Linked DNA regions of Mus musculus: all the other regions are reported to be linked to region 1. Evidence: microRNA targets listed by miRTarBase, many of them from high-throughput screens and not tested one by one. Region 1 holds a microRNA gene; each other region holds the end of a gene's coding sequence.

Region 1 (7,000 bases):
AAGAGTGGCCAGGTCTCCCTGACGGTGCACAGTGCCCAGCAGGTGCACTCTGCTCCTGAGGTAAGTGTGCCTCACTGACGTCGTCCCATCTTTCTCTGTTCTAGCCATGGGCCCCAGCAGCATATTTGTCCCCCATGACCTTTTTTTGAGGCAGGGTGTTACAGTGCTATGCAGGCTAGCACCAACCTCCTATGTGGAGCAGGCTGGTCTCTACCGTGAGCTCCTCCCGTGTTAGTCCCGAGTGCTGGGTGGCAGGTGTGTACCGCTGTGCCTGGCTTCAGCTGGAGCTCTTTTGCCCTGAGTTCACTTGCAGCTCCTGAGTCCTACACCCTGCTCCAGTGACTCTGGGTGGGTTTCCCAGCTAATGTCTGCCTGGCCCTGCCATCCCAGCCGATGTTGAGAGAGCTGTAGTCCGGAAGTAAAAGAGTTTTCTCTTCCAGCTTCAGAGTGAATAGAGTCCCATCATGAGAGCTTGGAACACACACACACACACACACACACACACACACACACACACACACACACACACACACGAATGAGGAGAGCCTGGAGGCAGTGGGCTGCAGATGGTCTTGAGCTTAGATTAAGAGTGCAGGGCCAGACAGGGCCCTTTAATCCCAGCATTTGGGAAGCAGAGACTGGAATCTCCATGAGATTCCATATTGAGTTCCAGGACAGTCAGGGCTATTACATAGTGAGACACTTTCTCTAAATAAATAAATAAATAAATAAATAAATAAATAAATAAATAAATAAATAAATAAATAAATAAGAAGGAAAGAAGGAAGGAAAAATAATACAGGGCCAGATGCCAGGCTTAGCTGAGTCTTTGGGCAGGTCTCCAGCATTATAGCCCAGTATTTCCTGTGTATAACAGAGCTAATGGCACTGGGTTGCCACACATCTGCATACAGAGGCTGAAGCAGGAAGGTTTCAAGTGTGGTGCTAAATTGCATTTTATAGAGAGACCCTGTCTCAGGAAGAACTAGTAAAACCCATGATTCATCCACTTGCTCACATCAGAATTGCAGTCCACACTAGTGCAGCATGCCCTAGAGCAAGCACAGGCTCACTGTGTGGCCCTGGGCATCTCTCTCTGGGAAATGGGGGTCTTGAAGCATCCATTGCAGCAAGCAGTGGGGGCAGCAAGAGGTGAAAGTAGATTCAGTGTTGTTACTACTGTCCCATTGGGAAGCCTGGCAGGATCAGGAGGAGCTGGGTCACGGGACCAGACTAGCTCCCAGCCTACTCTTTCTCACCTTTGCTGCAGCTCTTCTGATATAGAAGCTACAAGTGGCCTCTGGCCCTCATGGAGGCTGAGACACCTGGAGCCCCATCTAGGTAGAGTCCTGCAGAGCAGTATTTGTGGCTGCTGTGGGCTATCCCACCCTCTCCAGAGTCCTTCTGAGGCAGGTTGTTAGAGCCTGGGTGCCCCAGACACAAGCACAGCTGGCCCTGACATTGTCTCTGTTTGTTCTCTTACAGAGGTCACCAGTGCAGGCCAACAACTCCACCAGCAAGACAGCTGGGACTCCTGCGGCCACTGTGCAGCAACTACAGGTCCACAGCGTCCAGCAGAGTGTCCCTGTCACCCAAGAGGTGCCTGACCAGGGCGGGCAGTAGCTAGGGCCATGGGTATAGGCCAAGTAGCCACCTATGTCTGGGTCCCTGGCCTGTGGGAGCTAAGCAGATGGACCCAGCTCCAGCCTACCATGTGAGCATTTGACGAGAGCCTCTCTCTGCCTCTATCTAGATTCAGCGTCCCTAGTTGTGACAGTTGTAGAGGTGCCTCACAGGGCACATTATGGCTTTGAAAACACACACTGGTAGGCCAGAGAGATTGCTCAGTGGGTAAAGCACACTTGCCACCAATCCTGATAACTGAGTTCTGACTTCTACACACACAAACACACACACACACACACACACACACAGAGACAGACAGACAGAAAAGAAAAGCAAAGCCTGCAGGGTGAGCATTTGCCCATCATACACAGGCCCTGGGTGTCATCTCTTTTCTGCAAAACCAAAAAGCCAGCTTTCTGGGGAGAAGAAGCACCAAGGCCTTCAGATTTTACATCTGTTTTAATTTTTCTTCAGATTTTACATTTGTTTTAATTTTTTTTTAGTGAGCATGGGTGTTCTGCTTGCATGTGGGTCTATGCACCATGTTTGTGCCTAGACGTGGAGTTAAAGCTGTGTCGGTGCTAGGAATTGAACCTGGGTCCTCTGGAAGGACAACCAGTTTCCTTAACCACAGATCCATCTCTTAAGCCTGCCATTCTCACGATGTGCTCAACCTTCCAAAGGAGACTGAGTTTCCTAATACCATCACAGTGGCCTGAGCAGGCCAAGATGCAAGGATGGTCTTGTATCTCCTTGTTAACTGCTTAACTCTTGGGATTCTTGGCTTTTCAAGAAAACAAGACATGGTTTGTGTGTCCTCATAGCCTCAACTACAAGAGACTCAGGCCAGATCCCCACTTCAAGGCCAGTCTGGACAATGTAGTGAAACCCTGATTCAGAATAAAAATTGAAAAACAGTGCTGGGGTGTAGATTAGTGGTAGAGAGCTGGCCTAGCATGCATAAGACCCCAGGTTCCCCAGTACCAGGCTGAAAACCTCAAATAGGCCCGAGCTGTAGGCTCTTCCCTAGAGGAAATGGGAACCTTCTAATTCAAAGGATCCACAGGTATTCCCTTCCCGTGCAAGAACCACTCTGAACCTCCAGATGGCAGAGGCAGGCAGTAAGAGACCTGGAAGGCCTGTATTAACTGGACCCCACACGGAAAGGCTGCTCTCTGTCTGAAGAATGACAGCCTTTCCCAAGACGGCTGTTCTGAGCATGCATGGGACAGGCTGCCCTAGTTGCCATGGTTACCATACTCGAACTTGCCTCTCCTTGCCCTTCTTTGCCAGAGGTCAGTAGTCCAGGCCACTCCACAGACCAAAGCTGGCCCGGTGCAGCAGCTGACTGTGCAGGGACTGCAGCCAGTTCACGTTGCTCAAGAGGTGCGTGTCCTATCTGTCTATGTCGGGGCAATCAGACTAGTCCTGGGCTGTGGCTGGAGGTACAGGCACCTAATCCAGAGGGAGGAATGGAGCCAGCTGGGGACCCTAAAGGGCAGACAGTGGGGGCAATTGAGGTTTGAAGCCCTGCAGAAGTGAGGTTTCACTCTAGCCCTCGGCTTCAGACTTCATCCTGAATCCGTCCCCATCCCAGCACCTGACCACTCAGGACACAGGTCTTGTTGAAAGAGGGCTGGATTCGAATTCCGCTTCTTTCTGATAGTGCCCAGTTCGTTCCTCTCTTCTCTAAGGAGATCCCAAGTGGGGAATCTTCATTCGGGTGGCCATGAGTTCACAGCCGGGTGATACCCCAGTGTCTCTGTTTGTCCTCCAGAGCTCAGGCAGTCAGTTTCCCGCTAGGAAGGCAGAGCAGCAAGAAACCCGGCCCACGCCGCCGCCGGAGCCGCCGCCCCGGCCTCCCGGGCCTGGGCCAGTGTGCTGCGGCGAGGTCTTGCAGCTAGGCAGCGAGCAGCAGCCGCTCCATTACGAGCCGGGTGTGGAGCAGTGGGTGGAGCTGGTGGGCATGCTGCCCCCACACCTGCTCCTGCCGCAGCAGAGGGTGGTCTTCGAGCCACAGCGGGGGCTCTCGGCCCGAGCCAGCCCCGACCTGAGGGTCAGGATCCACAGAATGCCCCAGGTGCTAGTGTTCGGCACCGCCCTCAAAGTAGGTGGCGGCGGACAGCGGAGGCACGGCAGGGGGCGGAGGGCGGGCAGGGGAAGGGCATTCAGCCCAGCAAGCCGCTTTGCCTCGCCTTCAAGTCCAGGCTCCCAGGCTTCGCCCCTGCAACCCAAGGCGGGTGGGGTGAGATGTCTTTACCCTGTCCCCCAAAGTGCTGCCAGTCATTCTTGTTCTGCCTCAGGGACTGGGTCCCAGACACGGCTCCTGCAAACCAGGGTTGGGGGTGGAGGTAGGCTATCCAGTACCTGCCCCTAAGGTGTTGTCAGTTGTTTCTAGTTGTTCTATCAACTGATCCCTCTTCAGGCTCCACCCCTAATCTGCTTGGGAAACCTTTTTGGTTTCCAGAAAACCCCCAGGCCCGGTTTTTAGATTGCAAACCCACCTCTCAAGCCCATTGCAGAATTCTGTCTGGTATCCCCTCCTTTGCTCATAAGCCTTAGAAACCTCTTTGCCAAAGCAGAGAATCCCAGCACCTCCTGTTTTCCAGCCACAACTGAGACCTGGCCCCACCTAAGCCTCCTACCTAAGCCTCCCACCTCTGGCCCATGTTGTTCAGAAAACCATGATGTGCAACCTTCTAGATGGGGATGTATGTGGGCATCAGTGAACCCGTGGGTGGTGGTCAGCCCTGACCCATGACCCTGCTTTTCCTCCTGCTTCAGGTACAGCAACTCCCTCAGGTGCCTGTCCCACACGTGTATTCCAGCCAGGTGCAGTACGTGGAAGGTGGCGATGCCAGCTACACAGCCAGCGCCATGTAAGTGGGCAGAGGGTGGAAGGAGGGCTCAGATGTGGTTAGGGCCACAATTCTAACTCCCAGCTGGCCCCCAAGGCTCAGGTGATAGCCCCACACCTGTGGGGTGCCAGGAATATAGGCAGCTGGTAGCAGAAGAGACACTGGCCCATTGGGAAGGCACCTCCACAAATTAGGAGCTGTGCAGTTAGATGGATCTGGATTTTAGGCAGGAAAAGGGGAAAGAAAAAGCATACATATATGTATTTATACATACATTTTTACAACATAAACTTTTTTTGAGACAATGTCTCTCTGTATAGCCCTCACTGCCCTGGAACTTGATCTGTAGACCAGGGTAGCCTTGAACTCAGAGATTTGCCTGACACTTCCTCTCTCGTGCTGGAACCACAGGTTCTCAATCTGACCCTCAGTGTCCCACAGAGTAATTAGTGTGTCCCGTTTCTCTGCTTCTACTCAGAAGTGCTCTGAGCATAGAACTGTCCTGTTTGAGCAGCACTGGGGAGGCAGAGGCAGGAGGATTGTCTTTTGTTATATTGACTTATGTGTGGGGAGAGTGCATGTGCTGTGGTGCAGGTGGAGATCAGAGAACAACCTAGAGGAGTCCGTTTTCTCTCTCCTTTACACAGGTTGCAGGGGCAAATCCAGTTCCTCGGGCTTGCATATTCTGTCTTACAATTTTTCTTGGGGGTTAGGGAGATAAATCAGTAAATGGCTTGCTTCTTGCTTATCAGACCTGAGAAGCAAGGTCATGACCTGAGGTCAGAACTCAAGTACTAGGTAAGAGGTTCATGTGGTGAGTCTCTGACCCCAGAGCCACCTTGCTGGCCCTCGTGTGTGTGTGTGTGTGTGTGTGTGTGTGTGTGTGTGTGTGTGTGTGTGTGTGTGTGTGTGTGTATACACATGTGTTCGAGTGTGTGCATGGGATGATGGGGGGGGGTTGTATGCACCATGTATTGAGCGTAGTGCCAATGCTAACACTGGAGTCTGTTTGCTGTGTGGCTTTGGGGATCAACCCCAGGTCTTCGGTCTTGATGGCAAACATCCCCACCCACTGAGCCACCTGCAAGGCTCAAGTTTTCCTGCTTTAATCACTGTCACATTGGGAGGGCTCAAAGAGCAAAAGTGAGAGGTGGCCCTGCCTGTCCCCTCCCCACAGAGAGCCTTCTGCCTACACACAGGGTGGTCTTTTCCTCATCCCAACCTCTCGTTTCTGGCTGTCCATCGGTACCCAGTGGAGGACTCAAGGCAATCATGTTGCGTCTCCTCTTCCTGCCTCACCCCCTCTAGTCTGCAGCCTGCAGAGATGGGCCCAAATGTTAGGGTGGCTTGCTTGCTACAGTTGCCCCTCTTAGATCTGCGGCTTATTACCCTATGCGGCACTCAGGACATATTCTGAGTTGGAGGGGCAGCTCCCTGCCAGGAAGAGGTAGCCAAGGCGGCCCCTCTGCCTACCCTGCAGTCCTTTGTACTTTGCCTTCCCTCCTGTATCTCCCTTCCCTGGACTGAGAACTGTTTGTCGTTGTTGCCGAGGAAGTACGTTCTGCATTCTGGACCCTGTCTTGTTTTCTCCTCTTCTGCAGTAAGGAAATTGATTCCTGTGCTGGAGTGCAGTGGTTCAGTACCAGTGAGTGCTGTGGCTCAGTACCAGTGAGGAGAGTGATTCCTGTGCTGGAGTGCTGTGGCTCAGTGCCCAGCGAGGGCTGGTTCAATGGCTCAGCAGTGCTTGCTGCCGGGCTTTACAGTCTGAGTTCAGTCTCCAGGACCCACAGTGGAAGGAGAGCCCCGCCTCCCACAAGTTGTCTCTGACCTTTGTGTGTATGCCACGGAACACATGTGCCCCTCTCCAAGTAATAAGTTAATATAAAGACATGTTTTAGAAAACAAGAAAGTGGTTGCCCATCCAGTGCTCAGGCTGTCCCCAGTCCCTTATATGTGAAGGTGCCACACTGGTGTTTCTGTGGCTTCTCTGGTCCTCTCCTGGAACCCCTGCCTCCTTGTACAAGGTGGTGACCATTGCTTCCTGTCTGCTTCTTGGCAGCCGCTCTAGCACCTACCAGTACCCGGAGACGCCTATCTACACGCAGACGGCAGGCACCAGCTACTATGAGGCTTCGGGCACGGCTGCCCAGGTCAGCACGCCGGCTACTTCCCAGACGGTGGCCAGCAGCGGCTCAGTGCCCATGTATGTGTCCGGCAGCCCAATTGTCGCCAGCTCATCCAGCAGCGAGGCTGGGGCCAGCAACAGCAGTGTGGGTGCAGGGGGCAATGGGGGAGGCGGCAGCAGTGGTGGTGGCAGTGGCGGCAGCAGCGGCAGCGGAGCAGGCACCTACGTGATCCAAGGCGGCTACATGCTAGGCAATGCCAGCCAGTCTTACTCCCACACCACCCGTGCCTCACCAGCCACAGTAAGTGTTCGCCTTATTCAGAGGTGAGGGTGGGGGGAACACTCGAGAAAAAAACCTGGCAGTACTCAGAGAGCAGAAGTTTGGCCCAAG
Region 2 (7,159 bases), not on the chromosome of region 1:
TTATGGAAGATGGACGAAGGTATTAGATTCCTTGGAACTGGAGTTACAGATGGTTGTGAGCTGTCATGTGGGTGCTGGGAGTTGAACCCAGATCTCTGTAAGAACAGCCAGTGCTCTTAACCACTGACCCATCTCTCTGATCCCTTTCTTTTGTTATCACATCATTTCTTTTATTCATACTTGGATACATGGTTTAATCTTGTTAGACCCTGATCTCAGTTTCCTTCCTTTTCTTAGCTTAGGGTAGACAAATCGACAGACAGACAGACAGACACACACACACACACACCATTTTGGAAGTGTCCCTCAACTCATCATGAAGCAGTTCAAAGAAGACCAACCTTCTGCCTTCAGTTCCCCTAATAAGTTATTGGAAAGTTCATCAAAGAGAGGTTGAGACAGCAATCGTATGTGTGGGGCAAGAGGACCATGCCACCAGACAAAAGAACTGGTAAGGCTGAAGCAGGTTCAAACCCTGGCTTATCTCATCATTGAGAATAATAGGCATTGAATTAGCTCCCAACCAGGCTCTAGTTGTCCTGGAACTTGTAACCATGACACCACATTGAGAGGACCACCACAACTGGTCACATAATATAAAAACCTAGAGTTCTCCTTGCTAGTGAGGTATCTAGATAGGCCCTCAAGTGCTTACACAATGAGCCTCCCTTTTTGGGCATCCCTCCCTGTAAAAGGTATTTCATCCCTGGTTCACCCTGAGTAAGATCTATGCATTCACATCTGCCAGGAACAAAACCATTTGGACAAGCAAGGACCCTCTCCTTCATCAAGGATTACTGCAAGGGAGGCCTTAAAGTGAAGAGCCACACCTAGATCTCCTATAGAAGGCCTCTCTTCCAGTCCCTCTGAACTTTTAGGCACTCACCCAGAAGCAAACCAAATTCATCTACATCCTGGTCTCAGCCATCCCTTTCCTGCCTGGCATGTAGGGGAAGCTCAAGCCTCTGGACGCCTTTCCCCAACTCCTCAAGGTCCCCAGTGGCAGCTGGGTACATAGGAGATTGAGAACCATAGCATCAGTCCTAGATCTCACTGTTTCTTGTCCATTGGAACACTGGCTGGGACCCCATCTGGAGTGAATTCTGCTTTCCCTGAGCCACTTGTTGGTGGGGTTCTGGCATCCCAGCAGTGAGGTAGACACACAGACCAACACATATGGGAGAGTTTAGCAACACAAGATTCTACTTGGTTTGAGCTATGTATACCCTCCGTTCTAATAATGCACTTGACAACCAGCCTAGCTCTTTTATGTGCATGTACTATACACTGCATACGCTCATGGAAAATGCATCTATCCACCTTGGACCTTCACCTGCTACACATATATACCCTTCTATGAACAAAAAGGTAAATTTCTGTTCTGCTAAAAAAACAATCAATCTTTGTTTCTCTTCAAACGTGATTCCTATGTATGTAGGTACAAAGTATAGAAAGTCAGACATAGGCTGAACTGATTTTGTGTGTGTTCACAGCAGGCCAAAATTGTGTCCTCAAGTAAAGCTTTAGGAAGAATCCCTTATTTACGATCAGATCATATGCCTATGCATTCTTGGGCATCCATGTGATGGAAATCAGATGCATTGCATGTGCTGGATAGTTTTACATAAACTTGACACAAGCTAAAATCATCTGAGAGGCAGGACCTCAATTGAGAAAATGCCTCCATAAGATTAGGCTGTAGGCAAGCCAGTAGAGCATTTTCTTAATTAGTGATTGATGGGGGAGGGCCTGGCCCATTGTGGGTGGTCCCATCCTCGAGCTGGGGGTCCTAGGTTCTGTAAGATATCAGGTTGAGAAAGCCATGAGGAACAAGCCAGTAAGCAGCACTCCTCCATAGCCTCTGCATCAGCTCCTGCCTCCAGGTTCCTGCCCTATTTGAGTTCCTGTCCTGACTTCCTTCAATGGTGACCACCATTGGAAGCATAAGCCAAAGAAACCATTTCCTCCCTGAGTTGCTTGTGGTCATGGTATTTAATTTCATCAATAGAAACTAAGACACTATGGGATGGGACATTTACATCAGAAAAATGATTATGTAACTAACTTATTGATCATAATAGCTGCTCATGCTATTCCCTCTTCTTGAACTCCATCCAAGGATGTCTCAAACAATAACTAAGAGCCCAGATACTTTCTCATATATGTGACTGTCACTACTTGGTAAGTTTATTTCTTCCTGATCTGTACTATTGATTTACTTTTGGATAAAATTTCTTCTCAGTATGAGCTCTTATTTCAATCCTTTGAATAAGAGGCCAACAACCAAGATCCTGTCCCTGACCACAGGTAATGTGATGGTAGTGTCTTTGGTTGTAGAGAGAAACTTGAGCCTTGTCAGGATATAAGTGATGTTGGTCTTCTAGTAAGATGGTTCAAACCAGTTAACCACTCAGACTGGTGGTACACACTCACTCCTACAATGATTTGAACAATCCTTTTATCATAGTCTAGGCATTTAGAACTTGTCATCACAATAGAATGCTTTTCTTACTAGTGCTTTAACTTATTGAAACACATGTGCTTCAGCCTGGAAGATCCACTCACAACTATTTTCCCTCAACTTGGAGTATTTGAAGACTGCTGTCTCCTGAAGAGATCTATGGCAATTTCTTCCGTGATGGTGAGGTTGACTAATACAGGAGGCTACAGTCTGTTCTTCCTTCTCTCTTCTGAACAGAACTGGCCTTTACTTCAGCAGGGCTGACTGAGAACTACTAATGTCTTGCACCTTATGATGTGACTAAATTCAGGGCTGCTGGTATGGAAGGTGGAATCGAAGCCGCTGGGTTGGATTTCTTAAAGATAAAAGGTTTGGAACCTCCCACAGGTTGGCATGTGATTGCTAAGGTCCAACTTCTCCCACCAATGGGGAGGGAGGCCAACACACCTGGTTAGAGAGACAAGAATGTAGAAAGAATGTGGGGTAATGACTAGGTCCTCAGAGGAGATCTGGACTGCTTATTTACAGAGTTACTAAACTCAAGAGGAATAATCTGTCCTGCTCAAGCTGTGATTATTTTTAGACCCTGTATACAGTGGCTGATTACTACAATGTGTTACTAAGAAACACTTTATGTTCAAATAGCGTCAGTTGAATGTTATGAACAAGGCAGGAAACATATTTTTAGAGATATTTAATGATCTGTTTTTCAAATCAGTACAAAAAATTTAAATACAAAATTGATTTGCCATTCAGTCTCAAATCTATTCATGGGAACTCAAGCAAGTTACCGGTCTTTTCATCATTCTTTGTTTCTGTAAAATATTTGAGGACAACTGTCCTCTACAGACATTCCTTTCCCCTGTGGGACGTCATACTGCATTAAAACTCTCTGTTTAAATAGAACAATGCCAGTTTGGTCCATTTCACTTGGAAAAGCTCTAGTTAATTTTGTATTAAAAAGTGATCATAGTACTGTCCCTAGAAAGTAGAACACATACTTGATTCACTTGCTTTCACACCACTGTGGACATGATGGACAACACTCAAAAGGGAAACACAGGTACATAGATAATTATTTAAAACTCTTCTTTAAATTAAATGGAGTATCATTTAGCTCTGATATTAGCACCATGGTAGAATATACAGTATCTGGCATAGATTTTTGCTCCTCCTCCATTTAAAAGCTTAGAAGCATATGCCTGATAACACACACACACACACACACACACACACACACACACACACACAGAGGCAGGCAATTGAGTAACAACCAATAAATAAGTTGGAAGATATCTCAAAAAGTGAAATTTGGTTTAACTTAAGAGATAATTTCTGTCTTTCTTTATGGAAACTAAAATACCATACATGTACAGATAAAAGCAACTTTACAACCCATCTGGCCAGACCATTTCAACGTAGCTATTGAGCAGAAAGAGCGAGGGACCCATATGATTTCCATAGTGACCAGCTATAAGCCAGTGTCCTTAGGAGCGACCCCAAGGAAAGCTGTCCAAAGACATGCTGTTTACTTTGCAAATGAAGGTTTGGTAGGAAATTCGTTTGGATTCGAAGGTGCTCTTGTGTAATTAACAATGAATGAAAAACCTTGTGCTAATAAACACATTCTTTTTTTAAAAATTCAAGAAAAAAATGGTGTCTGTGCCTCATAAAGGGAAAAGACCAATAGTAAGCCGTGGCAAGAAGAACTGTGGTGGTAAAAATAATTCAGATTTTAAATAGACCATGCTTTATACTGTATTTATCTGTGCATTTTCCAATCTATGTCTCTCTCTTCAGCTCCTGGTTTTTAACTTTTGAGAAAAGTAGAATACATTCTATTGCTCTCATTCCACATTATTCCCCTAAGCAACCAAGAGCAGATGAACGGAAAACGTTCAACTGGTCGTGTTTTGAGCATCAGCCAAAGAACCTACTATGTGCCTTAATTAGAATCTGAAAAAAAACAATTTCTCTTTTCCAACATGGTTTGGCTGTGGTGCTAAGCGTGCAGTGGCATCGTAGGCCTGAGGTGCTATGGCTTATGACACTCCAGCTATCTCTTCCCCAGGCGGATGTTAAAGAAACAATTATCTTCCTACAACCGTAGTCCCTATTGCTGGAAGCAACATGCCTGCTTTTGAATATCAAACCTTATAATTACTCTTTTAAAATATAATTTTTCCTATGTAATTCTGATTTTTTCCCCCAAATTAAAAAAAAAAAAGAATGGTTTGGATTTTTGGCAATTGACTTTGGAACCTCATGGCATAAGTCATAGTTTTAAAATTCATAGTTACTGGGAAAAAAAAATGACAGCTACTAAGACAGGTGCAGACAAGGTGAAACCTCACTACACTTGGCTCTGTGGACACATTAGTGTTTTTGTTTTATTTTACACAACTGATAATTGCTATTAATAATAAATGTTCATGAAATGGCAAAGTTGTTTGAGGGAAGGCTTTGTAAAAAAAAGATTTGTTTATATTGCTTAGGCTATGTTATATATTATGTGGAAGGGTGAAGAAGGAAAAAAGAAAAGTTACAGAAAATTCCGAACTGAAACCCTTTAGATGGGTTGATATTTTAATGACTCTGAGCTAAACTATGAGCTCCTGTGGGCTCTGCCCTGCATCCCAGGCTAGCATCTCCTGCCCTGCATCTCACCCAGTTGCTAGGCAAGTAGACTGCTGAGCAGATACACAATGGGCCATTGGTATAGCTTTTCTTTTGGGGACACCACACACATCCACACACAATTCTGACTAGGTAGTCCTGCAGCTCAAAGCATTGCCTCTAACACAGAGAAATATCCTTTGGACTAGAGATTACCATGGACCCTGCACTACAGAAGAACCCTCCAAAATCCCACAGTAAAACACCTGCATGAAATAGAGAGGAAAGCATGCAAATAAATACAGTATGTAACTCTCACCATCAACCTCTTAAGGCATATTCAAAAATACCTTTACAAGGGAGCACAAAGAATGAATACTGTTCATTAGCGATGATGCTCCAGACTGAGATATTTTGACTGATTTGAATAAGCAGGTTATGAAATCATATAACATGGAACAGCTAATGAGTCCGCTGGGTACAACACACGTGTCAGTACTTCATCCATACCTCGGTCCCATGATCCCATTACAATCTGCTGTGCACAGGACTAAACATGCGTTTTAGTTTTTATTTGTACATGATGGTCCAAACTTTCACTTAAATATAACTTTCCAACTATTATAAATGTTTTGAAGCATTGTTTTCAATTGATTTTTTTTTTTGGTGTGTCATTTTCTTTTCTTCTATTAAATCTCTTATTTTTTCTCTTTTTTTTACATGGGATACAATAAATATCCTGAAAAGGAGGAGTGGACATATTGCCCGGCATAGAGTCCAGCAGCCTGTTCTGAAGGCATTTGGAGAAACACCTGGTCTCCGGGACGGAGAAGCAGTACTGCGCTTCCAGATGCTTGGTCCAGAAAGCCCTTCTTGTACTCGTCGTATGTGTACATCATGGGCTCGTTGTTCTTGAAGAGAGCAACCCATACGTTGCCTCCCTTGCAGTGAACATGATAAGCAAAGTAGTAGACACCCGGGACTTCACAGGTGAAGATGCCTGTCTGCGGATTGTAGTTCTGTCTGCCGTTGTAGAGCAGCTTGTCAAACTTCACTGGGGCCCCCACCGGTGGGAAAGGTACAGTCAGCTCGGCAGTAAACGCAGGCATCTCATAGGCTGGCCCTCCGTGTTTGCCCTTTTTGCCCGCATAGGCATGCGGAGGTTTCACCCCATCAATTCCTAGTCCCATATCTGGCAGATACTCTCCCTGGGGTGATGGTGTAGGCATCACAGCTGGAGGGCCTGGGGGTCCTGGAGGACCTGGGGGTCCAGGAAGGCCAGGCTGGCCTTGAGGCCCAAGGGCACCAGGTTTCCCCGGGGGCCCATGAAGTCCTGCTACTCCTGGCTTCCCTACACCAGGGAACCCAGGGGGCCCTGGGAGGCCTGGTTCTCCTTTGGGGCCCGGAATCCCAGGGGGTCCAATAGGGCCACTAGGTCCTACGATCCCTGGAATCCCTGGGGGACCCTGTAGACCCTGATCCCCAGGTATGCCAGGTTCTCCTTTGGGTCCAAGCAGCCCTGGAACACCGGGAAGCCCTGGCAACCCTTTGTGACCACCTTCTCCCTTGGGTCCTATAGGACCAGGCAAACCCCTCATGCCAGGGGGACCTACTTCACCAAGAAAACCTGGCTTCCCAGGGAAGCCTTGGAGGCCAGGCTCTCCCTTGGGGCCTGGTGGACCCTGTGGTCCTACAACTCCACCTTCTCCTTTGGGTCCAGGGAAACCAATAGCACCTGGAGGGCCCATGGGACCCGGGATACCGGGTAGGCCTGGCTCTCCAGGTGGACCCCCCATTCCAGGAGCACCAATGGGTCCTTTTTCCCCTCTCGGCCCAAGAACCCCAGGAACACCCCCAATACCCCGGTCCCCTTTGGGTCCTGGGAAACCTGGCTTTCCGACCCCTGGGAGGCCTGGGGGTCCAGGCAACCCTGGCAATCCTTGTTCCCCTTTACCACCCGGAAATCCTGGTTGGCCCGGGATCCCATCCTGACCTGGCTTTCCAACTCCAGGCATCCCAGGAGGTCCTTGAACTCCTGGCACACCAATAAGGCCTTGTGGTCCAGGTTCCCCTGGAGGCCCT
Region 3 (7,133 bases), not on the chromosome of region 1:
GAGTCCACACTGCTAGGTGTGATGGTCTTGAGGCCCAAACTGGAACCCGAATTAGGGTGCAGAAACGGTGGCCGCAGAGCCAGGCTTGGCTCACTCGCCTGGCCTCCCTACAGGCTTGCATCCGGGCTTGCAAACTCGACCTCTCGCTGGAGACGCCCGTGTTTCCTGGCAACGGAGATGAACAGCCCCTGACTGAAAACCCCCGGAAGTACGTCATGGGTCACTTCCGCTGGGACCGCTTCGGCCCCAGGAACAGCAGCAGTGCTGGCAGCGCGGCGCAGAGGCGTGCGGAGGAAGAGGCGGTGTGGGGAGATGGCAGTCCAGAGCCGAGTCCACGCGAGGGCAAGCGCTCCTACTCCATGGAGCACTTCCGCTGGGGCAAGCCGGTGGGCAAGAAACGGCGCCCGGTGAAGGTGTACCCCAACGTTGCTGAGAACGAGTCGGCGGAGGCCTTTCCCCTAGAGTTCAAGAGGGAGCTGGAAGGCGAGCGGCCATTAGGCTTGGAGCAGGTCCTGGAGTCCGACGCGGAGAAGGACGACGGGCCCTACCGGGTGGAGCACTTCCGCTGGAGCAACCCGCCCAAGGACAAGCGTTACGGTGGCTTCATGACCTCCGAGAAGAGCCAGACGCCCCTGGTGACGCTCTTCAAGAACGCCATCATCAAGAACGCGCACAAGAAGGGCCAGTGAGGGTGCAGGGGTCTTCTCATTCCAAGGCCCCCTCCCTGCATGGGCGAGCTGATGACCTCTAGCCTCTTAGAGTTACCTGTGTTAGGAAATAAAACCTTTCAGATTTCACAGTCGGCTCTGATCTTCAATAAAAACTGCGTAAATAAAGTCAAAACACAACTGTCCAGTTACACTATCACGTGACCAGATGCTAGAATGTAAAGAAAACATTTCTCAACCTCCTTGCCCCAGCAAACACTCTTGGTGGGGGACTAGATAGTTTGGGTGGCCCAGGGTGGTTCTCTGTCCAACTCTTCTAGAATGGCTGCTTAATTTGAGCCTGGCCCAAAGCCAAGTCCTACAAGAGTGACTGACCTTAGGGACCTGAAGCCAGGTGGCGCTACCAAGACCTATTCCCCACTGGGAATGTCTCTGGGATGTCACTCAGGAAGTTACAGGGACACAGGGACACTCTGCAATGTTGAGTCCTTATCTGTGACCCCAGGCAGGTTCCTGAACCCTCCCAGGGATTAGTTATCTGTCTCTTTATATTCTTGGTATAAGGGCTCTGGGGAGGATAAAAGGAAAATAGAGATTCCATCATTTTTTCAGGAAAATGTGAGAATTGAGAGGTGGTAGCCGGTCTGATTTGGTTATTCACATAAACTTTTTTTTTTTTTTTTTAAAGTGCATTTCTCCTTTCCCTTTATTTTTTAAAGATTTATTATTTATTATATGTAAGTACACTGTAGCTGTCTTCAGACACTCCAGAAGAGGGAGTCAGATCTTGTTACGGATGGTTGTGAGCCACCATGTGGTTGCTGGGATTTGAACTCCGGACCTTCAGAAGAGCAGTCGGGTGCTCTTACCTGCTGAGCCATCTCACCAGCCCTCACATAAACTCTTAAGACACACGGTCTCACCCTCTTCTTTATACCCCAAGGAGATAGATGCACTGTCCCTCGGCTCAAGCCTTGAGGGCATTGGTTTCCTATCTTGCTGTGTCTTCCCAGCCCCTTCCCCGTGATGTTCAATTTCATTCTCAGTTCTCCCTGCAGATGTCCACTAACCAACCTGCTTCCAGTAGCTTTCCTGCCCATGCAGACATTACATTATATACAATATACATTAATGCATATATTTTTAAAAGAGCTTGTCAGTCCCATGGCCCAATTTCTCATTAGTTGCAAGCTTTTGGGGCAAAATATATAGAGCATGAACATGTATAAAAAAAGGATATATGTAATTCTACATGTATGTATAGAGATGAACATGTCAATCATGTTCATTCCCCTGCCAAGCCTTTAGCTCATGTCTCCTGGGATTAAGGAAACGTCATGTCTGCTGGTCTCATTGTTACTCTTCAGTTCTTCATGCCTGGACCCCCATCCCATCCCCAGTGTCACCTTCGCCCACCTTCAGAATCTTTTTTTTTTTTTTCAATGCAAGCCTAGGTTCAAGACCACCTCTACTAGGCCAGGCATACACTCATCCAGTGGCCCTGTTTATTTTTAGGGTTCCCGAGGTCCTCTCCCTCTGTGCTGGAAGGCACGCTGTCTGGCCAGGATGGCAGGTGATTTGCTATGTGTCTGGTTTGTCCCCTCATCCAAGAGAAACTCCAAGCTCCGCAGGCCTGTGTTGTGTTGCTTCTGTCTCCTTGTGGTGTCTCTACAAAGTTGAGTCACACTTCTGCAGACACATTTACAGGGCATGCACACATACCCATCACTTTGATTAGACATCATAAACCTGGTATTTGTGTATTTGTTCACAAGCCCTTATGTCTGGTAGGAGTTCACAAGGACATGGTGAGCCCTGCGAGTCCTGGTGTGAAGGGGAGTCAGAAAATCTGATTAAGTTCTCACTAATGTGGGAGGTGGGGAATGGCCTGCACCCTCCTGAGGATGCTCCCTTGCTGGGAATCCACCCTTCAGGTTTCCAAATCTGTAATATCCTCTCCTCCCTCCTTCATTAGAGCCAGATGTAAAGTCAGGGTCAGTGGAGGTGGATAAATGCCAATGGTACACTTGATATTTTTCAAATTCTGTTTTTATCCACACAAACAGAAAAACGCTATTTTCTTTTAAGAATTCAAATAGACAGCCATATGGTGACAACATTAACATTTATTTGAAAAGGGCACCAACCACAGCTAATAGTTCTAAAAAATGACTTCAGAATACCCCCTTCCCTGGAAGGAAAACTAAGTTGATTCAACAAGTTTAAAACATAGAAGACTGCCACAGGTGCCAATTCTGTACTCACATATAAATATGTCAGCTATTATATATACAATGTTGGCAACTATAAACTACATCACACACATGCACGGACATTGACACATACACACACTCAGCCAGGCATGAAGGTCTCAAAAACTCGGACACACTGAGATGATGGGCTGCAGCATCTATGGGTGTGCACTTTTATACTCCATGTGCCAGACTCCAGTCATTAAGAGTTCAGAAAGGGCAAGTGCTGGGCTCAGAAGATCTCCGTGCTCCCTGAGGAGCCAGGCTGGTGCCCAGAATCACGATCAGGGCCTCCCATGATTTCCCTCTGCAGTCTTTAGACAAGACCCAGCTTTATAGGGTCATAGAAACCAGACTGTTTCCCCTAAATTTTATTCCCAGATTCCGAGGACAGAATTCTTGCTTTGGTGCAATCTGCTTGCTGGAGAAGGTCAAAAAAAGCAGACCCCTTCCCGACCTCCAAATCTACTTTTAAACACAAAGTTCAGACCCACAGCTTAGACCTTGCCTTTCCCCCAGGCCCCAAACACAGCTAAGCCACAGGGCTTAGCAGCTTTCTCTGTAGCAGGTTGGCAGGTCTATGACACCAAAAGGACAACTGGAAGGCACCACGACCCAGGGACCCTCAAGAAGTCTGGGGCTTCTTTTCAGGAAGTCAAGAGTCTTAAGGCTTTTCCAATCCTACTTCAGCTGAACTGCATCGTGTGGACCAAGACCAGTAACATATCCCATACGCACAGGCAGCATATGGGATATGGCTGCTCTGACCAGGGTCCTTGGTCCCAGCCTACGTTCTCCGGCTTTGCGTGAAGGTGGGAGCCAGAGGGGGCATTTCTAGGTTTTCTGATGAGGCCACTTAGGAGTCATGAAACCATCTATTTTAGTCAAGAGAAAACAAGAAACTGACTCAGCATAGGAAAACAGCAGCTGCTTCTGGATCAGGCATTTTCTCTTAATCTACTGTTTACACTTTTATGGTCAACCACGTTAACTCCTAACCCTAAACACACTCCCACCTGCTACATTCTGTCAGTAGGATGTCACTCTCTAGGCCAGAGCCCTGGGTGCTTTGATCATGGGGGTGGGGTAGGGACTGCTTGGCCTTAATAGGTTTGTTGGCTCCTTTGGATTCTGGTTTACAATAGGGAAAGAGAACAGAATTTGAGACAGTGCGATCAGACACCAGGGGCTAGAAAAGCATGGGCACTGGGCTGCTCCCCGGCCTCCACTCGCTGTGCTTCTTTTCCCTGCCTTGTGATGGAGGGACAGATCCTCCTGCACCCACCATCTAGACTTCCTGACTCTGAGGCATACTTGGTCACGATCAGATTCCATTTCCTGTCAACAGGCAACCCAGTATCCTACTGGATGTAAATTTAAATCAATTCTACCAAGAAGAGGGCACACAAGTGACCAGTTCTCTAAAAGCAGCATGTCCCTACTACACAGCCACGGCATGAAGAAAAAGAAATACTTAGACCGAGCAGCCATTGATTCTGCAGACATGAACGCTGTGCCTTTCTTCTGTTCCCAGGGCAAGGTGAGAGACAGACATATCTGTGTGGGCCTGGAGGCATCTGGTTCTGATGCTGGCTCTCAAAAGACTCCAAGGAAGTGTCTCTCCCAATCCACAACTAGGGTTAAGGTGTCTCAGGGGTGGACAATGACATCAGTGGGGAACAATAAAGAAACTAATGGACTCTTACTCTAGCTAAGCAGAGGATAGAGGATGTGGCCGGCAAGTGAAAAAAGACAGTTTTTAGCACAAGGCTTAAATTTTCTTAGTTTCTAAAAGGTTACTTGCCTTCATGCTTAAACTTGCCTTCAAGGCCATGCTTATAAACTTGGGTTGAGCAGTAGCCACACAGCTCCAAAGCCATGTGAGTGGTGTTGGGGTGTTGTCCTCAGGGACCTGAGATCATGCAGGCCATGCTGGAGCCGTGAGCCCGTAGCTCAGTGCAGAGAACATGGGAAAGAGTTGTATTACAAATGGGAAACTCTGGGGAAAGGGTCAGGAGTGCCCCATCTGTGATATTTATCACATATGCAACGAAAAGTACATGTGCTCAAGTTCTCCTAATTCTGGAAAATGTTGCCACCTGTCCTAGTGAGCAGGCTGTCACTATGCAGGGTCCCGAGGAGCTCAACTTCTCCTTTATGACCCCAGGCCACACTGCCTACAACCATACCTTAGAAATGATTCCTGCAGACCACAGAACCACTTCCCCTTTACAAGAAGCAAAATCTCTGCCTTTAATCCTAGCACTTGGGAGGCAGAGGCAGGTGGATTTCTGAGTTCAAGGCCAGCCTGGTCTACGAAGTGAGTTCCAGGACAGCCAGGGCTACACAGAGAAACCCTGTCTCGAAAAAAACCAAACCAAACCAAACCAAACCAAAAATCTCTGGAGCAATGTTGGTCCTGAGAGAAAAACAGCTTGGAAAACGTATGGGAAGTTTGAAAGGGAAAAGATGGACTATCTTGGACCGTGGAGTATGCCCACTGCTAGGCATTCTGAGAGGCACGGAGACACCACGAGGGACATCAGGAAAGGGCCAAACCAAGATAACTGCAAGTGGCCTTGTTTGCACCCACCCAGTCCTGGGTCAGCTGCTCCCAGCACACCAAGTCACATAGGGACAGGGAGGTAGCACATAGGGAAAATGGAAGCCAAAGTGATTCCTAACACCTCTACCCAGGCTACAAGCAAGGCCAATTATCCCCAGTGTCTCAGACTTAGCCCAAAGAGGGAAAATATTTTTTCAATCCTAGTTGTTAAATCTTTCTTTCCCCAAATTCTAAAGTGCCACTTGCTCAACTGCCTGCCTCTCTCTCAAGCCCTCACTACTGCTGGGAGCATCTTCCAGAGGAAGTGATGCAGACAGGCCTCAGGGCCCTGGCACTTCCTCCCCCCCTCTCCAGCCACCTAGAACCAGCTAGCTTGCTCAGCTTTCTCTCATCCCAGAGGCTGTGGAAACAAAGACATCAGGGACCAAACTTAACAACTAGGAAACATCCAGAAGAGAGAGAACCAGAGAAGACCCACCCCAAGCTTCCTCTGGACAGAGATGTGGGAAGATGCTACGCAGCCAGGACACAGACTCACCACACTCGTGCTTTGCTGAAGCTGCCACCCAGTCTGGGAGACCCAGCCCCTCTCCATCCCCAGCTCTTCTGCTAGCCTTGCTGGCTCCAGTGTCTGTCCCCAGCTCTGGCTGTAAGTCCTCAGCATTGATTAATAGTAGAAAAAGAAATGCAGACAACTAGAGAGTAGGCGGGATGCTGGGTAAGACAACCAAGACTTAAGAGGCGAGAGCAGACATCACTTCTGAGCTTTCACAGGGTCATTTCCCCAGGTGCCACCTCTGCCCTCCTTTGACCAACCATGTGGATATCAGGCTCCTTTCTTTGGGAGTGGCTGACACTCCCTCATAGACACATCCCCAATGGAGGCTTCCCAGGCCCTTCTGCTTCTCAATGGAGATGTCCTTGTGATTCTCTGTCCCTGGCTGATACAAGAGAAGACAGGTCAGATGCTTATTAGCCCAGAGGAGAGGTGGCTGGACTCTTCTCACGGAAGACGACAAGGAGGAAGGAGGACCACAGAGGACCAGAGAGGACCTTTTGCTCACTGTCCAAGGTGACAAGTTCTTAGCCATCCCAGCTAGATTTCCAAGGTGAGAGTGAGCAGGGGGGTGGTCCTCTTGCAGACTGTGTCCTCTAAGGAGCTCTGTCTCCTGGAGTTCAGTATACACACAGATCAGGAAACTTCATCTCATAGACAGGGATGGAGTGGTTTTGCGGCTGGCCGTAGGCTGCGCTGATGGTTCCTGAAGGGCTTGGAGGGGGCCTGGAGACACACAGAGGAGAGAGGTAGGAACCAAGAGCTGGGGTCCTACCCTGGTGCAACTGAACACAGCAGCTGGTTTTGGTTTCTCTTTAAAATGCATGCCACTCCACGAGTTCCCAGATTTTCAAGATGTTCTATGATCTTCAGCTCAGTCAAAACTCCCTGTATAGGCTCTACAGCAGCGGTTCTCAACCTTCTTAATGCTGCCACCCTTTAATGCAGTCCCTCATGTTGTGGTGACCCCCAACCATAAAATTATTTTTCCTGCTGTTTCAGAACTATAATTTTGCTATCGCTATGAATCATAATGTAAATATCTGATATGCAAACCCCCCAGGTTGAGAACCACTGCTCTCTGATGTCAT
Region 4 (7,159 bases), not on the chromosome of region 1:
ATATAGCTTCCACACTGGACTCTCTCCACCTCCCATCCTCTTTCCTTCTCTGCAGCTACTATAATCTCTAGGTCACAAGTTTGGCTGAGAGTAAAACTCAGTACAGTAGCTTGTCTAGCATGCATGCAGTCCAAGGCTCGATTCTGAGCATCATACAAAGCCAGCTGTGGTCGTGCACTCCTGTAACCTCGGCCCTCCCTCTGGAGGTGAGGGATGGAGGACTGGGAGTTCAAGGCCACTCTCAGCTATACAGTGAGTTTACAGCCAGTGTAGTGTACATTACACAAGCACCTATCTCAAAACAGCCAAATCACAGATCTGTTCATCCCTGCATCGCTACATCCACCTCTTCAACTGCTTTCCCACTGTTTTTGGATCTTGTCCTGATTCCTTAACATGTTCTGCTAGGTGTTTCTGGGTTTGTTTCTAGTTGGCTCTTCCTGGCCCAGACAGACTCATTTTCAACCATTTGGTTCCTTAGTTAGCATACCCTGTCCAGCCTCTGAAAATATTGTTTTCCTATAGTGCTGCCACACCTCTTCAGCGCTCTATACAGGCAAACTGTTGTGTTCTTTCCTCCAGAACCCTGTGCTGTTGAGAGCATTTTAAAGTCAAAGAAAGAAATCACTTGTCCTGGTTCAGCTTCCTGCCAGTGTGCCACAAAGCCAAGGTTCTTCACAACCCTTACCTGGTAGACAGGCCCCAGCCAGCTTCACAGACAGCCCTCTGTGCCACCCTTCCTGCTCCTGAAGCCAAACGGACAGATGTTGTTACTCATGTCTGTTTGTGCTGGGTGACCCTGTGCCAAAGGCAATCCTAAAGACCAGTTTACCTGGATTAAGCCCTAGAAATGCCTAGGTCTAGCCAGCAATTCCTTAGCTTCACCTCTGGCTGTTTGCTGCCCCCGAGTGGCCAACCATAGACTTGCTTGTTTAACACCACAGGGTCTCAAGAACATCAGCTATGAGACAACAGTTAGACCCTGGCACAGCTCCTGGAGGCAACATCTTCAGTCCACAGGCTCACTGCTGCCTAGTACCCACATCCTTGTATGGGCATGTCTTTTGTTTGTGGTGGTGGTGGTGATGGTGTGTGTGTGTAGGAGAGGGAGGGAGAGAGAGAGAGATCTATTGAGCCCCGTGACAGTCTGTAGTGAAGCACAGAGTGATGCTAGAGAGCAGAGGGTACCTGGTGGTTGGGGTGTTCCTAGAGAAAGCAACTCTCATCTGGTAGTCCCCACTTGGCCCTCTTGTCCACAAGCCTCCTGCTGGCTGCCTGCCATCCTTGCAATCACCAGGTCACAGACAGAAAGTGACAGTAATGTGCCTAATTTTGTGATATATCTATCCTCCTATAAAACTGAAGAGAGACAAGTTAGAGAAGGGAGAGGAGAGATACAAAGGGAGAAACGATGAGAAACTAATGTCAAGTTAGTGTCCTTCATTGGCCTGATGACACAGAATGACTGGACAAACCAACCAAAGAGAAAGGAGAACTGCAGAGCAATCTACCTACAAACCCAGTCCACTGACACCACTTTCTATTAAGGAAAAATCTTTAAAAAAGAAAAGAAAAATCCACATGTGTGTCTAGAGAGATGGCTCAATGGCTCAGAGGTTAAGAGCACTGACTGCTCTTCCAGAGGTCTTGAGTTCAATGCCCAGCAACCACATGGTGGCTCACAACCATCTGCAATGGGATCTGATGTCCTCTTCTGGCATGCAGATGTATTTACAGATAGAACACTCATTTACATAAATAGATGAATCTTTAAATGGTTACATGGTTTATCTCATATTGCTACCTCTTCGTTTACTTAAAGTACATTGTTTTGTTTGCATGTCTGTCTGTCTGTGTGGGGGTGTCAGATCCTCTAGAACTGAAGTAACAGTGTAAGCTGCCATGTGGATGCTGGGAATTACTGGGAATTGAACCCAGATCCTCTGCAAGAGCAGCCAGTACTTATAACCATTTTTCGACTGGGGACAGCACAAGGCATCTTACATAAGTAAGATGTACCTGCTAGAGTTTCCCAGTACCATGGTGGATCCTCAAGGATTCACCGCTGGAGGAATCACATTTTAATAAAGCTTACAAGATTAGGTTTTAGTTGTTGTGCCCAGAGACTGAGTTACCATTGTTTCTGAACTAAGTTTGTTTTGTGTTTTCCTTCACTCAGCTAGCTCATCTGGGTTCAAGAGAGAAAGGTACGGCAGCAAGGAGTGGGTTTGCCAGATGTGCACCACAAAGGCTGTAGGGGATTTGAAGCATGGGCTTGGTGTGGTAGTGACCCACCAGTGAGAACCTAACAAGCTGGGTGGAGAGATTGTGGAGTTCTGGGTCAAGAGTCTCCATGAGATTAAAAACAGGTTGGCCATTGCTTGCCAGTGCATAGCTGGCCAGACCCCAAAGGCACAAGCACAGGAATGTGACGTTCTTTTTTTTTTTTTTTTTTTTTTTTTTTAAAAGATATTTCCTGCAACAATCTCTCCAGCCCCAAGGACAAATACTTAAAAAAACAAAACAACAAAAATCTATGCGAGCTGGGTGGTGGCGGCACACACCTTTTATCTACAGAGCAACTATAGGACAGCCAGGGCTACACAGAGAAGGTACCTGGGAAAAATAAATCAACTTTTATATCTACTTATTTATTCCACATAGACTTACTGACACTGTTAGGACAGAGTTCCTGGGACTGTGGAGTTTACACTGCTTGGGAGACATATCTTTGATTAAAGCATTGGGTTTTTGTTTGGTTTTGGTTTTTCTGAGACAGGGTTTCTCTGTGTAACCCTGGCTGTCCTGGAATTCACTTTAAGGTGGGATCACAATGGTGATTTGGGCCGAGGTCTCTGTGCTGCTGTGACAGCCTTGTATATAACCAAGGATTTGTTTAAAAATCTGTTAGAGGTGAAACGAGGACAGGACTTGCTTAAGAGGTTTAGATGCTATTGTAAAGGGTGTTTAAAGATTCAGGTGTAAATCTGGAGAGATGGCTCGGCTGTTGAGAGCACTTGTTCTTTCAGAGGACCTGGTTTCAATTCTGCAACCATTGATAACTCCAGATCTAGGGGATCTGAAGGCCTCTTCTGATACCAGGCACACACAAATACAGGCAAACCACACAAGTGTAAAGTAAGTCTTAAAAGGTGAACGCAAGACCAGGAATGACTCATCGGCCCTTGCACGCACAACACACTTCCATTGGACCACTTGGCATCTTTTTCCATTTATTGGAAATTTTCCATTAACGAAGACTAAAGTATCACTGAGTGGTTTATATGACTAAAGGAATGTACCACACACCTGTCTACATGTGTGCTAACAGGTGTGTGTGCTTGTGCGCATGTGCCATGGCGCATCAAGTACCACACACCTGTCTACATGTGTGCTAACAGGTGTGTGTGCTTGTGCGCATGTGCCATGGCGCATCAAGTACCACCACACCTGTCTACATGTGTGCTAACAGGTGTGTGCTTGTGCACATGTGCCATGGCGCATCAAGTACCACACACCTGTCTACATGTGTGCTAACAGGTGTGTGTGCTTGTGCGCATGTGCCATGGCGCATCAAGTAAGCCATCACAACTGCAGAGTTGGTTCTTCCCTGTCACCACGTGAGTTCCAGGGGCTGAACTCAAAGCATTAAGCTTGATAGCAAATACCCCCACCCACTAAGCCAGCGGTTCTCAACCTGTGGGTCACGATCCTCTTGGGGTCTAAGGCCATCGGAAAACAGACATTTACATTATGATTTTTAATAGCAGCAAAACTACAGTTATAAAATAGCAACCAAAACTTTATGGTTGTGCCCACAATAACATGAGGAACTGTATTACAGGGTTACAGCATTAGGAAGGTTGAAAACTTCTGCACTAAGCCATCTTGCCTACTCAGGCTTACAAAAATACTTTCATAAATACTTTAAATATATAAATTTGAGACAGTGTCCTGACTAGCCTGGAACTCACTAGGCTGGCCTTGAACTTACAAAGATCCACCTGCCCCTATCTCCTAAGTGTTGGGATAAAAGGCATGTACCACCATAAGCAAAATATATATTCTTCCACAGCATCAAAGGGAATGTTCACATGTCCAAAATGGTACTTAGGTCAGAACACAGCACTTGGTAGAAGACCAGGATTTCAAGATTACTCTCAGCTATGAGTTCAAAGCCAGCCAGAACATCATATGGGTCTCGAAAATACAAACAAAATCCTTAGAATCACTCTAGTTAGGAAAAGTTACTTTGCAATGCAAAACGGAGAAAGATCTGACTTCCCATCTCCAAATATCTTCCTTTGGTGGTGCTGGACGGGAATCAAACTCAGGAAACACAGATACTAGGCAAGTGTTCTAATACTCAGATGGACATACAACCTGCAGCTTAACACCTATTCACCATTAGTACCTTCTTGGGGTGCTACTTCTGCAGAAGCACAAGTGTTCTGCATTCCCCCAAACCCTGAAATATTTAGAAATCCAACATGCTAGTCTGTTTTTATAAGGAAACTCCTTTAATCATGACATCGAGCTTCTTAGGGGGCTACCCGAGTCTACCGTACAAGTAAGTAGGAAGCAACGGATGATGAAGGTGGCTGTCGGTACAACAGCTACTACCAAGACGTGATCTGTGACTGCAGGATCTTCACAGGCAGATGTAGCTGGGTGGGTAGGGCGCCTTGCTGTTCATTTTAAGTTGGAACCAATCATAGACAGTTTATCACTAAACTTTGCTTTGTTAACTGGGAAACACCTCTCAAATACCTTAATCTTTATGATAGACACATAAGTTACCCAGCACCTATTTAGGTTGGCAGTACAAGCTAAGGAGCTATTATTATTTCAATCCTATTAAGACTACAAACAAGCCGGGCGTGGTGGCGCATGCCTTTAATCCCAGCACTCGGGAGGCAGAGGCAGGTGGATTTCTGAGTTCGAGGCCAGCCTGGTCTACAAAGTGAGTTCCAGGACAGCCAGGGCTACACAGAGAGACCTTGCCTGAAACCAAACCAAACCAAAAAAAAAAAAAAAAAAAAAAAAAAAAGACTACAAACTCCATTAGGTCAGTACCAATGTCAGGCACCACTACTGATCAAGCAACAAGAAGAAAAATGAATGGCCAGGCAGTAGTCGCACATGCCTTAACCCCAGCACTCAGATGGATCTCTGAGTGCGAGGCCAGCCGGTCTACAACATAAGTTCCAGGACAGCCAGGGCTATACACACATAAAAACAAAACAAAACAAAAAAACCCAAAAAACAAAAACAAAAACAAAAACCCAACCCTGTCTTGAAAAGCCAAAACAACAAAAAACAAGCTCCAGGGCTCTCTGCTCTAAGAAGGAAGGTATCAACTACTGTAAGGTGGCTGCTAAATTAAGAGAAGCAAGAATCAGGAATGTGATCTGAGATAGGCACAGGTCAGCGCCTTGAGCATGGACAGAAGCAATGATTCCTAACAACTAGCAGTGCATGTCTGAAAAGGGATCCGGAAAGCTGCTCTTTTCAGCTGGGCAGAGGCTGGGAGGGACTGATGTACATTATTCCTAGACCCTAAGCCAATGCCAAGCGCCTTGGCAACTCACCCGGGGTAACGCAAAAGAATTCTGAGTTTAGGGCCAGCCTGGGCTATAGACTGAAAGCCGATCTCACAAAGCCAAAGAAAACGAGGATGTGAGAGCTCACTCAGAGCTCTAACCAAGAGAATGAAGGATCACAAGGCGATGATCCCGGGAGGGCTGCCAGTAAATCTCTGCCCACCCCTCTGCCTGTCAGCTGTCCTCGGAGCCTGAGCCGCTTGCTGAAGATCCATGTTAAACTCAAGAGCTGAAAGCAGCTCTTGCAGGGGCAAGGCTAAAATGAGCAATGCAGCTGAGGTCATCCCAGCATTTTGGTTCTTGCTAAGATGCTTTTGGAAATCACATGGGATACTCCTGAAAGCAATGGGGAAAGAAGGCAACGGAGTCAAAGGGTGAGCTGTGGGCCAGGGTGGTCATGCGGCCTCCTCAGCAGCTGTCCTCCTGGGTCCAGTTCCTAGCATTGATGAAGAGCTGCAGCCACGGGGAGGTGGGAAGAACATCAAAGGGAGAGGGTCGCCATGCCCACTGCCAAAGCCTTACAGCCCGCTCAGGGTGCGGCATGAGTGCCAGGTGTCGGCCATCTTGGGAACAGATACCAGCTATGCCCCCTGGAGATCCATTGGGGTTCAGAGGGTACTGCTCTGTGGGGTTCCCATCATCGTCTGCCCAGTGCAGAGGAACCAGGCCCTTGGCCTCGATCTTGGCTTGGAGTTCAGGAGAAGAAAATGCCATGTAGCCTGGAAGTGAAGGAGAAGAGAGTGAAGGCCAAGTTCCTTCAGGCCCAGCCCCAGCCCCAGCTTGCAAACCCTCCCCTGCCTTCCCAGCCTGACCTTCCCCGTGAGCACTCCACACGGGCAGCACAGAGCCTTCCATCCCTCGGAGCATCAGGGCTGGCCCCGGCTCCACACGTACGGTGGCCCATCGGGACTCGAACCGCCCAGACAGATTGTGGCGGAGCAGGAGGCCCGGCTGTGTTGGCTGGGAGTCCTGGCCTGGCTCAGCTTGCTCTTCACTGGGATCACTTCCCACCCAGCCCAGAAGAGCCAGCAGCTGACAGCCATTACACACGCCCAGGCTGAAGGTGTCCGGCCGCCTTCGGAATCGGCCCAGCTCTTCCCTGGCCTGTGGATTAAAGGTCACCGCAGCTGCCCAACCTAGGAAGAACAGTTAAGCCAGAGTGAGAAAAGGCCTGAGAAAGGGCTGGAGAGATGATGGCTCAGTGGTTAAGAGCACTGACTGTTCTTCCGAAGGTCCTGAGTTCAAATTCCCAAAACCACAACTATCTGTAATGAAATCTGAGGCGCTCATCTGGTGCATCTGAAGATAGATATAATAATAAAGGGGCTGGAGGGATGGCTCAGTGGTTAAGAGCACTGACTGCTCTTCCAAAGGTTCTGAGTTCAAATCCCAGCAACCACATGATGGCTCACAACCATCCATAATGAGATCTGAAGACAGGTACAGTGTACATATATATAATAAATTAATAAATCTAATAAATAAATAAATCTATCTAAAAAAAAAAAAGCCGGAGAAAGCAAAAGCAGGGCGTGAAGGGAATGACATGACAGCCC

Evidence for each region. The annotated mature microRNA mmu-miR-709 reads GGAGGCAGAGGCAGGAGGA and lies in region 1 at 5,005-5,023, shown strand. An mRNA with a match to its seed (bases 2 to 7 or 8) in the 3' UTR can be bound and repressed. Matches are read on the target gene's strand: a 7mer-m8 pairs with bases 2 to 8, a 7mer-A1 pairs with bases 2 to 7 and ends in A, and an 8mer does both.
Region 2: miRTarBase lists Col8a1 as a target of mmu-miR-709. Seed matches in the 3' UTR shown: 7mer-m8 at 3,713-3,719.
Region 3: miRTarBase lists Efr3b as a target of mmu-miR-709. Seed matches in the 3' UTR shown: 7mer-m8 at 5,197-5,203, 7mer-m8 at 5,191-5,197 and 7mer-A1 at 4,225-4,231.
Region 4: miRTarBase lists Pfas as a target of mmu-miR-709. Seed matches in the 3' UTR shown: 7mer-m8 at 4,920-4,926 and 7mer-m8 at 4,914-4,920.

Annotation. Positions count from the first base shown.
Region 1 is chr8:84,081,163-84,088,162 of GRCm38, forward strand. Mir709 (microRNA 709) reads left to right here and starts at 4,937; the gene lies at 4,937-5,024. It overlaps Rfx1 (regulatory factor X, 1 (influences HLA class II expression)), which reads left to right. Exons shown (of 21, transcript NM_009055.4): 5 at 1-60; 6 at 1,486-1,599; 7 at 2,920-3,012; 8 at 4,411-4,505; 9 at 6,544-6,910.
Region 2 is chr16:57,621,118-57,628,276 of GRCm38, forward strand. Col8a1 (collagen, type VIII, alpha 1) reads right to left here. Exons shown (of 4, transcript NM_007739.2): 4 at 3,139-7,159. The coding sequence ends at 5,794. Among named protein-coding and RNA genes, the nearest start is that of Gm51269, 14 kb to the left of the region's middle.
Region 3 is chr12:3,959,780-3,966,912 of GRCm38, forward strand. It overlaps Efr3b (EFR3 homolog B), which reads right to left. Exons shown (of 23, transcript NM_001082483.1): 23 at 2,775-6,768. The coding sequence ends at 6,663. It overlaps Pomc (pro-opiomelanocortin-alpha), which reads left to right. Exons shown (of 3, transcript NM_001278584.1): 3 at 114-864. The coding sequence ends at 689. Among named protein-coding and RNA genes, the nearest start is that of Pomc, 8.4 kb to the left of the region's middle.
Region 4 is chr11:68,981,952-68,989,110 of GRCm38, forward strand. Pfas (phosphoribosylformylglycinamidine synthase (FGAR amidotransferase)) reads right to left here. Exons shown (of 28, transcript NM_001159519.1): 27 at 6,416-6,739; 28 at 3,750-6,322. The coding sequence ends at 6,012. Gm32384 (a long non-coding RNA gene) reads right to left here and starts at 1,617. Exons shown (of 4, transcript XR_001780244.1): 1 at 689-1,617.